2 linked regions of the Macaca mulatta genome follow. The protein of the gene in region 2 purifies or fractionates together with the protein of the main gene of each other region. This does not show direct contact. Links are inferred from orthologs where the notes say so. Each region holds a gene or a part of one and is shown on either strand. Other genes may lie near its edges. The genes, in order: VDR and MED12.

What was found.
Region 1: the proteins of MED12 (region 2) and VDR purify together in Homo sapiens (affinity purification with mass spectrometry; 3 studies listed by BioGRID, with this or other methods). This does not show direct contact. The link is inferred for Macaca mulatta from reciprocal best matches to the Homo sapiens genes MED12 and VDR.

The regions. Positions count from the first base shown.
Region 1 is NC_133416.1:54,954,724-54,962,218, reverse strand, and holds part of VDR (vitamin D3 receptor), read left to right. Parts: intron 1-3,050; coding exon 3,051-3,235; intron 3,236-3,490; coding exon 3,491-3,611; coding exon of another isoform or gene 3,612-3,638; intron 3,639-6,248; coding exon of another isoform or gene 6,249-6,275; coding exon 6,276-6,447; intron 6,448-7,495.
Region 2 is NC_133426.1:77,585,158-77,592,652, reverse strand, and holds part of MED12 (mediator of RNA polymerase II transcription subunit 12), read right to left. Parts: intron 6,836-7,495; coding exon 6,654-6,835; intron 6,480-6,653; coding exon 6,369-6,479; intron 6,245-6,368; coding exon 5,990-6,244; intron 5,609-5,989; coding exon 5,462-5,608; intron 5,301-5,461; coding exon 5,201-5,300; intron 5,071-5,200; coding exon 4,934-5,070; intron 4,715-4,933; coding exon 4,583-4,714; intron 4,216-4,582; coding exon 4,089-4,215; intron 3,676-4,088; coding exon 3,446-3,675; intron 3,074-3,445; coding exon 2,993-3,073; intron 2,862-2,992; coding exon 2,691-2,861; intron 2,486-2,690; coding exon 2,341-2,485; intron 2,174-2,340; coding exon 2,123-2,173; intron 1,797-2,122; coding exon 1,678-1,796; intron 1,492-1,677; coding exon 1,348-1,491; intron 903-1,347; coding exon 739-902; intron 536-738; coding exon 404-535; intron 9-403; coding exon 1-8. UniProt on the Homo sapiens protein: Component of the Mediator complex, a coactivator involved in the regulated transcription of nearly all RNA polymerase II-dependent genes.

The sequences.
Region 1 (7,495 bases), on a different chromosome or scaffold from region 2:
TCCGAGGCCGTAACCTTGTCCTGCAATGTTCAGTAATTATTCAGAATGATACCTCTGAATCATCAGGGAAAGGTTATATGACGTTAAAAGTGTTCCGTTACAAGGTTTTCTGTCTTGAAAATCTTTCCATAACAATTGTTTCAATAAAAGAGGTCAGCTTTGCTCAGCTCTCTGGTGTGCCAGGTGCCATTCCCTACATTGCAAGAGACAAGCAGCACTGGAGTACTCACTAGCCTTTCCTGAGCCAGGAAAATGATTTGCACACAGTTAGTGTAATCTGTGTGGATGCATTTGATGTTTGGTGCCAGACTATTGAGCAGACACCACAGCCAGGTAGCCCATCCGGTCTAGCCTTTATGGGGAAAATATAAGAATTATAAAACAAAGGCCAGGAGTGGTAGCTCGCGCCTGTAATCTCAGCACTTTGGGAGGCCAAGGCGAGCGGATCACTTGAGGTCAGGAGTTCGAGACCAGCCTGGCCAACATGGTGAAACCCCGTCTCTACTAAAAATACAAAAAAATCAGCCGGACGTGGTGTCGTGTGCCTATAAACACAGGTACCCTGGAGCCTGAGGCAGGAGAATAGCTTAGAACTCCAGGGAGTGGAGGTTGCAGTGAGCCAAGATGGTGCCACTGTACTCCAGCCTGGGTAATAGAGCAAGACTCTGTGAAAGGAAGAAAGGAAGGAAGAGAGAGAGAGAGAGAGAGAGAGAGAGAGAGAGAGAGAGAAGAAAGAAAGAAAGAAAGAAAGGAAGGAAGGAAGGAAGGAAGGAAGGAAGGAAGGAAGGAAGGAAGGAAGGAAGGAAGGGAAAGGAGGGAGGGAGGGAGGGAAGGAAAGAGGAAAGGAAGGAAGGAAGGAAGGAAGGAAGGAAGGAAGGAAGGAAGGAAGGAAGGAAGGAAAGAATTGTAAGACATGGACCCTGCCCTTAAGTAACTTGTAATCTAGAGAAAGAGACCTTGAACTTCTTGGGCTCCCTCCATAGGTAATGAATTAAAACCTGTGCTAACCATGAGTCTTACAGAGCAGAAGATAATTGGGTGTCAATGTGTGTGGGAAAGACTAAATATGTCACAGGCATAGGAAATGAGGCTCAGCAGAAGAAAACGAGGCTCGGTGCAGTTCAGGGCAATCAAAAAATGCTTCACAGAAAAAGATGGCTATGATGTAGGCACTGAAGAACTATAGAACTCATACAGGTATTGGGGAGAGGAGACCCAGCTGGACAGGCACCCAGCACAACTGGAAATGCAGGGGCAAGTATGAGCAGGCCATGTTCCCAGGCCAGCAGCAATGCCAGTGTGCCCAGAACAGAGGCTGTGTCCAGAAGCACTAAGACATGAAGTAGGAAAGTTAGTAAGAAGCCAACTTCAGTTTGGACGTGGTCAGCAGTAGGGGCCGGGAAAAGTATCTGGGCAGGAGAATGGCCTCACAGAATCACTGGAAAGTTAGCAAAGTCCAGTCAGGCTGAGCTACATGCCTGTAGACACCATGGTGTGGCTGGCAGAAACAGGCCTCCCTAACTCCTCTGGTCCCCAGGTGAGCAGGAAAGACAAGACACCTAATCTTGGGCTCCCCAAGTGAGGGCTTAGCCCCATTGCCTTCCCTGGATGCTCCCTGCCCCTTCCTCTCCCACCCTGCCTGACCTGGTAGGGTCTGTGCAGACACCCACTGTGGGAGGAGAGTTGGCAGCTGTTAGGGCAGGTGAGTCAGTCACCTGGGCGTGGTCTACTCCCAGGCTCCCCATAGAGGGAAGCATCATCTCTTGCAGTAACACTCGCTTTCCTGCCATGCCTGTGGCACTGGCTGTCCACTCCCACCCAGCATAGGCTCTTCCTCCCTCCCCACCAACTTATCTCGCCCTCCCCCTACCTGAGGGCCTGGGCCAATGGACCTTTCTCGAAGCCTGGAACTCACCCACCCTGGGCTTCTGGTTCCTTTCCCTGCTCTTGTGAAACTCCCCAGTTCTGTGGGCAGATGCCCTGGCAGCACCAGCACCGAGCAAGTAGCTACAGGCCAAGGGCCCCGGTGCCCACTCCTGCCATCAGCGCTCAGCAAGCCACAACCAGGAGGTCTGTTTGCCCAGCCGCTGTGCCAGGCACCTCTGCTCCCAGCATCCCCCCAACCCCCACAGCTACCCCAGCACAGGGAGGCAGGCACAAGCCTGCAGGTGGTGTTGGAGCTCTCTACAGCCCAACACCCTGATTAGTGGCTGTAAAGAACTTCCAAGATTAGAGCTGCAAGGCCTCACCCTTTGGGGCCTTCAAGAGGACTTGAAAATTTCCATGGACAGAAATGTCAAGGCTGTACAGGCTGGAGGAGGAGTGGTTTTGCAGAGAACCAAAGAGGCCTAGTCTTTCTATATTCCACAGTCCCATGTCTGGAAACTTGGATGTGGAGATAGCCACACAGAGGGTCCTCTCCACATCTCACTTCCAGCGCTGTGAGAGCTCTGGCATCCTTTCTCCACTCTGATGTCTCCTTCAGGTTCATGGAACATCAGGATAGGGGAGAGATGAGAACTAACATTTCGTGAGCATCTGCTCTGGGCCGGGCATGCATCCAGTTCTCAAATCAGTTGATCCTTTGAGGCAGGTGTTATTACTTCTCCCACCTGCATGTGAACACACACACACACACACACACACACACAGACACACACACACACTTTATGGAGGAAGGTACAAGAAAGTAACCTTGGAAGAGCTTATATGGTCCAAATCTCTCATTTTACAAACAAGAGAACAAAAGCCCAGAGAGTTTGCCCAAGGTCCCACGACTCATTCTTGAGAACCCCCGACTCCCTAAAGCCCAGACCATCCCGCCTCTCAAATCGTCTTTTTCTTCTTCTTGCGTGTACCTTCCTTTCCACCATAGCAAACCCAATTTTTCTTCACACAGTGGAGTGGGAGTCCCTGTGGCAGGAGGACCCCCGAGGGAGCCCCGAGTGTTAAAGCCCCTCCTATCTTGGACCTTTACCCACAACCACAGGAGGAAGGTTTTCTGGAGGAGCTGCTGGCTGGCCCTCCTGACTCCCCTTCCCACCCCACAGTCATCCTGACAGATGAGGAGGTGCAGAGGAAGCGGGAGATGATCCTGAAGCGGAAGGAGGAGGAGGCCTTGAAGGACAGTCTGCGGCCCAAGCTGTCTGAGGAGCAGCAGCGCATCATTGCCATCCTGCTGGACGCCCACCATAAGACCTACGACCCCACCTACTCTGACTTCTGCCAGTTCCGGGTATGTCTACCTGCTGGGAGGATGAATCGGTCCAGAGGAGAAGCACTAGTGGAACCAGGGCCCAGGGAGTAGGGACAGAGGGCAGGGGACATCCTGAACAGAACTGGGGTAGGGACGGAGGCTGCTCTGACTGCTGGCACTGAGAGGCTTCGCCTTTCCATAGACCTTCCTCAAAGCCATTCCTATCAGAGATCAGGGCCAAGGTAGGAAAATGACCCCAAAATGTGGGTCTGAGACCCCATCTTTCCCTTCCAGCCTCCAGTTCGTGTGAATGATGGTGGAGGGAGCCATCCTTCCAGGCCCAACTCGAGCCACACTCCCAGCTTCTCTGGGGACTCCTCCTCCTGCTGCTCAGATCACTATATCGCCTCTCCAGGTAAGCAGGACTTCAGTCCTCCATGGAGTAAGGGAGCGGGGGTGAGGAGTCCACCCCACCTGCCCTGGGGCTGCTGGATGGAAGGAGGTGGAAGGCTCCCTAATGGAAACTTACATACATACTGTGTGCCATGCAGTGTCCTCAAAACAGCCCGTCTGTTACAGAAGGGGGTGACTTGCCCAAAGGCCCACACTGGGGAAGAGGCCAAGCTGGGATTCCAGCTGTGCAGCATCGGGCTCCCGGGCCCATGCTTTTTCCTCTAAGCCAGGCTTCAGCCCATGGCCCCAGGTGACCTGCTTCCTTTAAGTGATATTTTAATCCTGGGCCCTTCAGAAGGTGAAATTTGGAGTGGGAAGGAGAATGTGTTGGTCCCATTGCAGCCCACCTTCCACCTGAGCTCTGGGGACCACTCTGGCCCTGGAGGACCTGTCCCCTCCAGCTCAACTGAGAGTCTGGGAGGCATCATGCTTTCCTTCCTTCCTTTTTTTTTTTTTTTTTTTTTTTTTTTGATATGAAGTCTTGCTCTGTTGCCTAGACTGAAGTGCAGTGGCACCATCTCGGCTCACTGCAACCTTTGCCTCCTGGGTTCAAGCGATTCTCCTGCCTCAGCCTCCTGAGTTGCTGGGACTATAGGCACGTACCCCCACACCTGGCTAATTTTTGTATTTTTAGTAGAGATGGGGTTTCACCATGTTGGCCAGGCTGGTCTCCATCTCCTGACATTGTGATCTGCCCCCTTGGCCTCCCAAAGCGCTGGGATTACAGGCGTGAGCCACCGCGCCCCGCCCATGCTTTCCTTCTTATGGCCTTTTTCTTACTTCCTCTTCATCACCCTGCCTCATCTGCCCCCTGCTCTTGTCCTTCCTCCCTCTACCCCTAACCTGACCCTGCTGTCCTCTGCTTGGGGTCTGCAGGAGGGCAGGGATGGGAAAAAACTTTCCCCTCCAGGCAATTAGAACCTTAGATAAAGCAGTTCCATACTCAGTGATGAATCTCTGCCCAGATCCAGAATAGATGGAAAGGGTCCCAGTGCCCCTGGACAGAGATACTAGTTAGAACACTTGCTCCCTGCATGATCAGCTGACCCTCCCAGCCCCTCACCTCGTAGGAATCCCTCCCACTTGTCACTTTTCTGTACTCACCTTCCTGCTCTTTTCAGTTGATAGCATATTTATTTATATCAATTAAGGCCAGTCTGTTTAATCCATATGTTGTTCTGTATTTCAGCTTTCAATAGTAATTCTATACTACTTAGGAGGCTTTTTGTTGTTGTTTTTTGTTTTTGCTTGTGTTTTGTTTTGTTTTGAGACAGAATCTCACTCTGTCACCCAGGCTGGAGTGCAGTGGCACAGTCTCTGCCTCCCCGGTTCAAGCCATTTTCCTGCCTCAGCCTCCAGAGTAGCTGGGATTACAGGCACCCACCACCACACCTGGCTAATTTTTGTATTTTTAGTAGAAATGGGGTTTCACCATGTTTGCCAGGCTGGTCTCGAACTCCTGACCTCAGATGATCTGCCTGCCTTGGCCTCACAAAGTATTGGGATTACAGGCATGAGCCACTGTGCCCTGCCTATTTAGGAGTTTTTTGATACCCTCTTGTAAGTTCACTGATTCAAGGTGCTTAAACCGCCCTCCCCACAAGTGGTGTGTTCAGTATAGCATATATTTATTTAAAAATTCAAACAAGTTAACCTTTTTATTTTTTAAAAAAATTATTATACAAAAGTAATACATGTTCATCTTAGACATTTGGAAAACATAAACTAAATTATATATATATATACTTTAATCCTGCTACCCAAAGATAATCACTATTAGCACTGTAATATATCTCTTGCCTCTTTTTTTAAAAACACATATGTACATTCAGAAAAGAAATTTTGCTGTATACAATCTGATGACTTGTTTTTTTAATATTGCATTGTTTTTCCTTACAATTTAGTATGCATCCAGAACATAATTTTTAAAGGCTGCACAGTATTTTGGAATACAATAATGTACCTAAATCCCCTACCATTGGATATCTGGATTATTTCCCAGTGTTTTAGTAAGACAACAGTATACTTATAGCTAAATATTTACACTTATCTGAAATTTTCCCTTACAATGAATTCCGGGAAGTGGGATTACTGGTCAAAGAGTACACACAATTGTTTCACTAATGTCAAATAGCTTTCTAGATTACCTGCAGTAATGTGCATCTCCTTTAGCACCCCAGCCCTCATAGGCATTGCCTATTTCCTACATCTTTATAAATACTGGCATCAGTATTTAAACATTTTTGTTTCTGGTTTATAGGTGAAAAGTGTAGATGTTCTACATTGCAGTTCTTTGATCATTAGCAAGGTTGAACATTTTTTTCCATGGGTTGATGGGTCCCAAATTCATTTCTGATTGAGATCCGTAGGAACAGCACATGGTCTGCTTGAGGAAGTCTCATTGCTCTGAGTGTCTCTGGCTCCTTGCTTTTACTGTCTCACGCTGCTGAAAGAGGCAGAGAGAGTCCCAGAGGGAAGCCTGGGCTGAAGGGTGACCTCTGGCATCACTGCGGGATTCCCAGCTGGCTCTCCTGCCAGGGCACACCAGGTCTTTGCAGGGGCTGGCAGGAGTGGTCCTGGTCCAAGTACCCTTAAATAGCTCCTTCTCTTCCCTCATCTCCCCCAGACATGATGGACTCGTCCAGCTTCTCCAACCTGGATCTGAGTGAAGAAGATCCAGATGACCCTTCTCTGACTCTAGAGCTGTCCCAGCTTTCCATGCTGCCCCACCTGGCTGACCTGGTCAGTTACAGCATCCAGAAGGTCATTGGCTTTGCTAAGATGATCCCAGGATTCAGGTAAGAAACTTCTGCAGTATCTAGGGAACAGAGTCAGAGTCCTAGACTGAGCTGTAAGAAGGGCTGGAGATCACCCATCCACCACTCCTTTTTTTTATTTTTTATTTTTTTAAATGGAGTCTCACTCTGTCACCCAGGCTGGAGTGCAGTGGCGCCATCTTGGCTCACTGCAACCTCTGCCTCCCAGATTCAAGCGATTCTCCTGCCTCAACCTCCCAAGTAGCTGAGATTACAGGTATCCACAACCATGCCCAGCTAATGTATGTATGTATGTATGTATGTATGTATTTTTATTTTTCCAGATGGAGTCTCGCTCTGACACCCAGGCTGGAGTGCAGTGGCGCTATCTCGGCTCACTGCAACCGCCACCTCCCAGGTTCAAGCAATTCTCCTGCCTCAGCCTCCTAAGTAGCTGGGATTACAGGTGCATGCCACCATGCCCGGCTAATTTTTTTATTTTAGTAGAGACGGGGTTTCGCCATGTTGGCCAGGCTGGTCTCAAACTCCTGACCTCAAATGATCCACCCGCCTCAGCATCCCAAAGTGCTGGGATTACAGGCATGAGCCACCACACCCAGCCTCCATTGCTTTTTTAAAATAGAGATTCAGGCCCTACCCTAGACCCGCTAAATCAGAACCTCTGGCGTAGGACCAGAAATCTGTATTATGAAGTGCAGCCTATCCTGCATTACTCTGCAGGCCAGCACTGGAGAGCTAGTCCATCCCCTCACTTTCTGGATGATGGTGTAGAAGCCCAGAAAGGTCCAATGGCCAGCCAGGATCCCTTCCTGGTGTTGGAGCCAGCACGTCAGAGCCAGGCCTAGAACTCCCAGCTCACTGTTGTGTTACTCCAGCTGGCTTGACTGGCATCCTCATATTATCTCTTTAAATTCAACGACATGATTCCTCCACACCCCAACTCTGAGAGTAGAATGAAGTGATAGAGAGGAGAAGGGTTGGCCATGTAGACTTGTGAAACAGTCTGGGAATCCTGGAGAAAGACAGGTTTCCTGGCATATATGACCCCGGCATCCTTCACCAAAATGAA
Region 2 (7,495 bases):
AAGAAGGTCTGCTGAGGTCGAGGGATGGTCAGGAAATGGGAGAAAAGAAAAAAAGGAGAAAGTGAGGGATGAAGGATCTTGGGACAAGAAAAGGGAGATGGGACAAAACGGACTGGGCAGGAAAGGAACCACATGGGAATAAGGAACTGGGGCCTCTGAAGGCAGCGAGGAAGAGGGGGAAGAGGCAGCGAGGAAGTTTGGGCCCCACAGATATAGGTGGCGGGCAAGCCTGCTGAGGAAGAGGGCCCACTCTTGGTAACACAACAGTATGTGGAGGACACAGTCCACAAATGACCCTAGACAGGCAGCAGGGTCCCGGGCCATGCTCTCCTCCTGAGTTGGGTGGTTATGGGAAGAAGGGAGTAGGTCCCACTTGCTACCCCTTACCTTCCACCGCTCTTACCTGAAGAGCTCCCCAAATTTGTTCTTTAAATGGCTACAGGAGGTGTACAGATCATAGAGATAAGCAAGGATACAGCGCTCTGCAGAGGAGCCATCGGACCGGTTCATCCCATGCTTCACAACACCACACAGCCTGCATGAAGAAGCAAGGTTGGGAGGGTCAGCAGATGGTATGCGGGCTCCTCCAAACGGATTCAAGCCTCTGGGAAATACCATTCCTTTCCCATCTGAGTGGCAGGCACTTCCCCAGAGTATGAGGAAGTGCATGCTCTTCCCAGGCCACTTCCACCAGCATTCGCCAGAGCTTTGTTTCATTTATTCCAATGTCCTGCTTACCCCTCAAAGACCTGTGCCATCTGGTCCTGGTTGAGGATGAGGCAGGCATGATAGTGCCGCAGGACAGCCACAATGCACAGGCACAGGCTAGTAGTGTAGCTGCCCACCAGATCCGAGGATTTGAGAAGCAGCTCAGCCTCAACTACACTCAGTTCATTCAGCAGCTAGCAGAGTGAACAGGGGTGAGAAATGCAAAGAGGCCCCTCATGTTACATAGAACCCACCTTCCTGTGCGGACGCTGGCAAGGCTGGGCCTGAGCCCCTTCCTGCTGGAGCCGCCTCAGGATAGAAGGGCTCGTTACCCTATGCCACGGTCCTTTAGTCTATCAACACCACCTCTAACCAGTATCCAGGATACAGTTCTATGAACTCCACAGTGGGAGGACGGTCTGTGTCCAATGCTCTAATCTGCCTCTTGGCCTTCCCAGGGAGCACTTGTCTCTATTCCTACAGTCTCAGCTCATGTTCCACTTCCCCCGTGCTAGTCTTTCTGCCCCTTCAAATAGCCTGGGAAACTGGCTGGAGCATTTACCCCTGTCCTTATGACCCTCCATAGCCCCTATATGGCACGAACACCTTCCTCCACCCTCATCTCCCCAACTTCCCCACCTGAATGGCAAAGTCGATGAGGCCACTGATGCTGAGTGAATATTCCATGAGGTCGAAGATGAACTGCACATGCTGCACCAGAGGCAAGTGGTATGACATGCCAAGGGCAAAGCTCGTGATCTGCTCCAGAACATTCCGGGAGACCTGATAAGGGCAGTGGGAGTGAGACGGGAGTGGAGAGAAGAAAGAACCAGGGAAGCAGGAAAGGATGACAGTGGAAGGGGATGAGACCAGGAGGCTTAGCCTGCCTAGCGGGGAGAAGATAGGGAAGAAAAGGAAAACAGGAGAGGAGGCCAGAATGTGGGAAAGGGGCTGGGCTTAGGCCCACACCTGAGCCGTGACCTGGTGTTGGTCATAATGTGAAAGGTGCTGGAACTTAGCAAAGATATCTTCAGCAGTGGGGAAGGCTTCAGGCCGGTTGCGTCGCCGCTTCTGCCCATCCTCCCCACCTGAGGGGACAGTTGAAAGGGACCAGTCAAGATAGGGAAGATAACTAGTTGACTAGGGGTAGGGAGTGGGGTATGGAGAGAAGGCTATGGGAGGGAGGGAGGGAGGGAGAGAGGGAAGGAGGGAGGGAGGGAAGGAAGGAAGAGGGAAACAGGGAAGGGAGGGTCAGGGAAGGGATGGGGGAGGAATGAAGGGAAGGGGACAGTGAAGCAAAGGTTTAGAGGACCACAGACTATGTGGACCTTAAAGGAATATGTACAGGGAGGTGCTAGGTTGAGGGAGGGAAGGGAGAGGGAGGGAGGGCAGTATGGGGCTTACTGTGAGGTACCTAAGAATGTCAGGTCTCCAGGATTCAGAGGCACAATAGGAGCAAGCTGGTCTGTAGAGGGGGGGAATGAGGGGGGAAGTTTCAAAAGGACTAGAGCTCTCAGGAGACTCCAAGAGACAGGACATTGGGACATGACTGGGGAGTTCCCTATGCTGGGGAAGGGAAGACTGACTAGGGCACTCTTTGGGGGAGATCTGTTTAAGGAGCCTCAAACCCACCAGTTTCTGCTGTCCCTTTGCGGTTCAGAACCTTCAGGATATCCTTGGTGATTTTCTTGATGGCATGGCGGGCATCATCTCGCTGCTTTCCCACCCCAAACAGTACGACCAACCGCTGGTTGCACTCATGGCTGCATGACTCCTCCTGCATCCCAGCAGCACCATCAGACTCCAGCACCGATCTCCTTCCCTCCTCTTGAAATCATGCTCCACATCCCTCAGCATCCACATGCTAAAGCCCTTCCCTTTCCCAACCCACATCCTCAGGAACAGCTCCAACCCCTCAGCAAATTCCTTGGACAGCAATCTAGGTTCAAAACAGATCATCACCAGGTGCTGGGGAACAGTACCTGGGGGATGGGAAAGTGGGTGGCATACTGCACGTGTCGTGGCTGGTCGTAAAGAACCCCAAGGGTCCCTTCGATCTTCTCCTTGGGTGGGGGCTTCACCTCCTTCTCGACATCTGGCTTCTCCGGGGATGGACTGCCCTTCCCCTCACAGGGCATAGTAGGGGAGAACAACTGAGAGAAAGGCGAGAAGGCAGAACATGAGAAGAAGGAAAGGGGATGAGCGGGGGTAAAGAAATGCCAAACGCAGGCATAATGGGAAGATCAAAGGAGCCAGATTCTGCCACGCTCAGGATTGAACTTACTGAGAAATCAGGCTTCTCCATGTCCTCAAAGAGCACACTGGAACTAGGGTCAATGTCCATAGATTCTGAAAGCCCTGGATCCTGAGGGCATAGAACATAAGCAAAGTTGCTTTAGCCCTAGGGAGCGGCTCCCACCATCTAGAAAACTTCACGGGGGAATTGGAGAGAGAAGACCAGATTGTGGAAAGCACAGGATCTGGAGTCAAGTCATCCAATCACTTAACCAGTATAGGCCTCTGCTTCCTTCAGCTTGAAAATGGGGACAAGAGTACCTCACAAGGCTGATGGGAGGAACCAATGAAACAATTGATGTGATAGTGCTTGGTCAATCACCAAGTGCTAAGAAAATACTACCCCCCTGCCCCACGCAAAAGACGCTCTTAGAGGCCTCTGGGAGCCATGAAGATAGAAATGTCAGAAGAAACGATCTAGGGCAAGGAAAAGCCCACTCACCTCCAGCTTGCTGCTGCTGCTGCCTTCAGCCTCCTTGTGCTCTGGGTCATCGGCAGGATCATCAAAGGGAGAGGGAGGCCGGGGACCAGGGGCTCCAAAGGCAAGGTCCCCTCGGGAGATGAGAGTGCAAGTATACATGTTGTGGGAGAAAACATCATGTCGAATCAGTTCACAGAACAGCAGTACTAAGTTAAAGAATTCCACCCGCTCACTCTCACTTCGGGGGTCCGCTGGAGGAAGGGAATGAGGAAACATGAGTTAGGAGAACACAAAAAGGTGGGCCAAAAGAGAGAGGGACACACCTAAGGCAATTAATAGGAGTGATAAAATAAAAATCCCAGAAACTGTCGAGGGACAAAGCGTGGTTGGTTACCCCACATGCTGCCCCACACACCATCTCAGAAAGGAATGTAATATCTTTGTTGCGATTTACGCAGTGAAAATGCTTCAATCACAAGCTCTTGTTTTAATCCTTCTCTGTATTTCTCTACTTTAACTGTAAGATGATCAGTTAAAGAGGATCACTAGAACTACATCTAAAAGTCATTCTGCATAGAGCCCAAGAGAGAAATATACTTTTTGATGACAGTGGCGGGTAACTGAGTCTAGGCAGACGCAACTAGAGAGTGGTAGGGGTCCGTACTCAGCATGGGAGCCTGTGTATCCAGAAACTGCAGGAGGACATCCTGGAAAATGGGAGCACTAGGAGCAGAAAGGGAGCCAGAGGCGATGGAACCCTTCTCATCTGCGGCTTCTGATTCTCCACAACGCTGCAAGATGACAGAACAAATTGTAGAACTGACTTTTACCTGCTTCTTCACTCCTCAATGTGTAGGCCTTAAACTACTACCTGCTTGACCTCTACCCCATGCTTTTCATTTTCATTCCCCTGCTGACCTCCATCTTCTTTACCACCTCCCAACTGAAGCCTTGATGTTATCTCTAATTCTGATAACAATCCACTCTTCTCTACTTTCACCTCATGTCCGTAACTTTGCCTTTAGGTTCTCTTCCACTTCTTTCCTCTGTTCTCACACCTTCAACTCTGGTCCCTCCACCACCTCCATCTCTTGGTCTCCAACCCCAGTAAATTCCTTCCCATTGGCCAATCTCATTCTCTTATCTCTGCCCTCTAACCTCAGCCTCAATCTCCGCCTGTCTCTTCTCCAGGAGCTTGGCTACCACCATAGCACGATGCCGACCAGAACGCTTGCAGCTGACAGCCCATTCACATAGCAATGACACCACAGCATCATCATCTGAGGAGATCTGGAGACCAAAGGAAGAGAGGGAGGAGTAAGGTAGGGGTGGGGACAAAGAAATGAGTTCCAATTTCCTGAAGACTGCACTCCATCATAAAACATTCTGGGCCCAGTAAGATCATTTCTGCAGATATGCTCTGCTTTCAATGCCTCACCATGACTTCCCCTCAGATATATTATTGCTCTTGCAATGATTTTTGCTCCTTCTATTCCCCTTTTCGCTTACCTCATGCCCATCCTTGCTAGGCCCCAATCCAAAGATTCGGTTACAAAGTGAGTCAAGAGAGTTGCTGAAGTCAGAGCGCTCAAAACTATGGCTATCCAGCACTTCCAAAGTATGAAGCACCCGTCCAATGGTGAAGCCTAAGGAGGAAAAGTGGTAAAGGGGACTGAACTAGAGGCCCAGTGCATTCTGGCTCTCAGATCTACATGTCCTTACTATCTCCATCCTTTCCTCAAACATACTTCCTATTATCTGTTCTCCGACACATACCTGCAGTAGCTTCCTGGCATTTATCGAAAGACCAGCGAACTTCAACTGCCTGTCCCCGCTCCTTGATCTGCTGCTCGATCTCCCGCAACTTTGCACGGACCTGCAATGTTAAAAAGGAAGGCTATAAGGATGTACCAAGGCATACAAAAGGCCAGAGCCCCAGGCTAGAAGAATAGTACCAGACTCCAAATCACTATTTCTGAGAGAGCACTTTAGCCTCATAGCCCAATCTGAGAGTACCAGGCGAGTGGTCAGACATACCTGCTGAGTGAAGGCACTGTTACCCTCTGGCATGGGCAGGTTGGAGGGGGCAATAGGCAAGTGGTCAAGTGGTGAGCCGGTCTTAATTCTGCTATCAGTCAGTGAGTAGTGCCAAACCAAGGCACTAGGACAACACAGGAGGATGGTCTGCCAGATAGAAACAGCTAAGTCCAACTCGTTCACATGGCTACCCCTCTGGAATCCCATTCTAAGACCAAACCCGTAGATTCCAGATCCAAAGTTATTCTGACTGGGCCCCCAAGACAGGCATCACTCCACCCGATCCCCTCCCTTCACTCACTTTCCTAAAAGGCTCTGGGCCTACTATTTAGCCCTGGAAGGGAGAGAGAGGCTGGTCAAAACCCCCAAAGGGGACTAACACCCCATTACCAAGAAACCACCACCTCCAAGCAAGTACTCAGCACCTACTCCCACATCCAATTTGGAATTACCCCTATACTCTGGGATGGGCACCCAATTCTTCTCAGGTTATCTCTCAATGCTTCCTTGGGCCCGCCTAGTACCTACCTGTAGGATACAGCTGAGGCCAAAAACCAGGGGCCGGTGCTGAGGGCACATAAGCAGGTCACTAAAGGGAGTCGAGGGGGTGCTGCTAGTTGGGGGCTGAGGAGCAGGGGTGGTGGGTAGCGAGCTTGTTGACTGAGCAGATATAACATGAGATGAGTGACTGCTCACACCATCTAGCTGCAGGGCCAGTCTCCGTGTACAAAAGTAGGCAAGGCGGCGGGACAGGTACGCAGACTGAACAAATTCCCCAGAGTACTGTGAAGACATGACCATCAGAGCCCCTAGTTCTCTCCAGGGGACCCTGCTCTGACATTTTATTCTTCCTTAAATCCTTCTTAGACTCCCCCTGCCCCACCACCACCAAAATTCCAAGCCTTACTCGGAGAAGCAGGGGCAGGAGCAGTTTAAGCAATTCATCTTCTCCAGGGCGGATCTTCTCAAAACACTCAAGCACCCAGGTCAGGAACTCATGTCTGTCCAGCATTCCATCCTATGGGTACCAGGGGAGGGAAGAGGGGACTATTAGAGATGAAGCAGATAAAGTAAATGAAAAGATGAAGAGAACCACAACTGGGGCAAGGTGGCAAGCAGATTCTGTTCTCTATTGGCAGAGTACAAGTTCAGGCTCAACCTAATGCCCCACACAGCATGCCCTACTCCCTACCTGAAACATGAACATGGCCAGCTTCTCAGTGTAATCCCACTGCCGGATTGCCACCTCTACATCATGGGGCAAGGGCCCTATCGTGGAACCACAGCCCCCACCTCCTGCAGGCCCTGGCCGGTAGTATTCAGCCATCTTCTGTAACTGCTCCCATAAGTACTTGGTGATGATCTGAGTCCATTCTGGAGGAAACAGGGAAAAAGGGCTATTTGATACTATCCTTCTGCTTAGAATTTCCTTCTACTGGCCGGTGCGGTGGCTCACGCCTGTAATCCCAGCACTTTGGGAGGCTGAGGTGGATCACGAGGTCAGGAGTTCGAGACCAGCCTGGCCAAGATGGTGAAACCCCGTCTCTACTAAAAATACAAAAACTAGCCGGGCGCAGGGGTGGGCACCTGTAATCCCAGCTACTTGGGAGGCTGAGACAGGATAATCACTTGAACCCGGGAGGTGGAGGTTGCAGTGAGCCAAGATCCTGCCACTGCACTCTAGCCTGGGTGACAGAGCAAGACTCTGTCTCAAAAAAAAAAAAAAAAAAAAGAATATCCTTCTACTTAGAATACCTTACCCCACTCCCAATCACCCACCATATTTGTAAATTCAGTTCATCCTTTGTCTCTAGTCAAATCCCACCTTCCTAAAGCCTTTCTGGGTATCCCCATAAGAAAGTAATCTTTTGTCCACTCAAAGAACCTTCTGCTCCTAGCTTGACATTCACCACCTTCTATATTTAATTATGTTATTTGTACATATACCTTAGCAGCCCTGTTAGACTACTAGTATCCTAGGGGCAGAGATTATGCACTGGACGTTTTTGTAGACCAGTATATGTGCACAGTAGA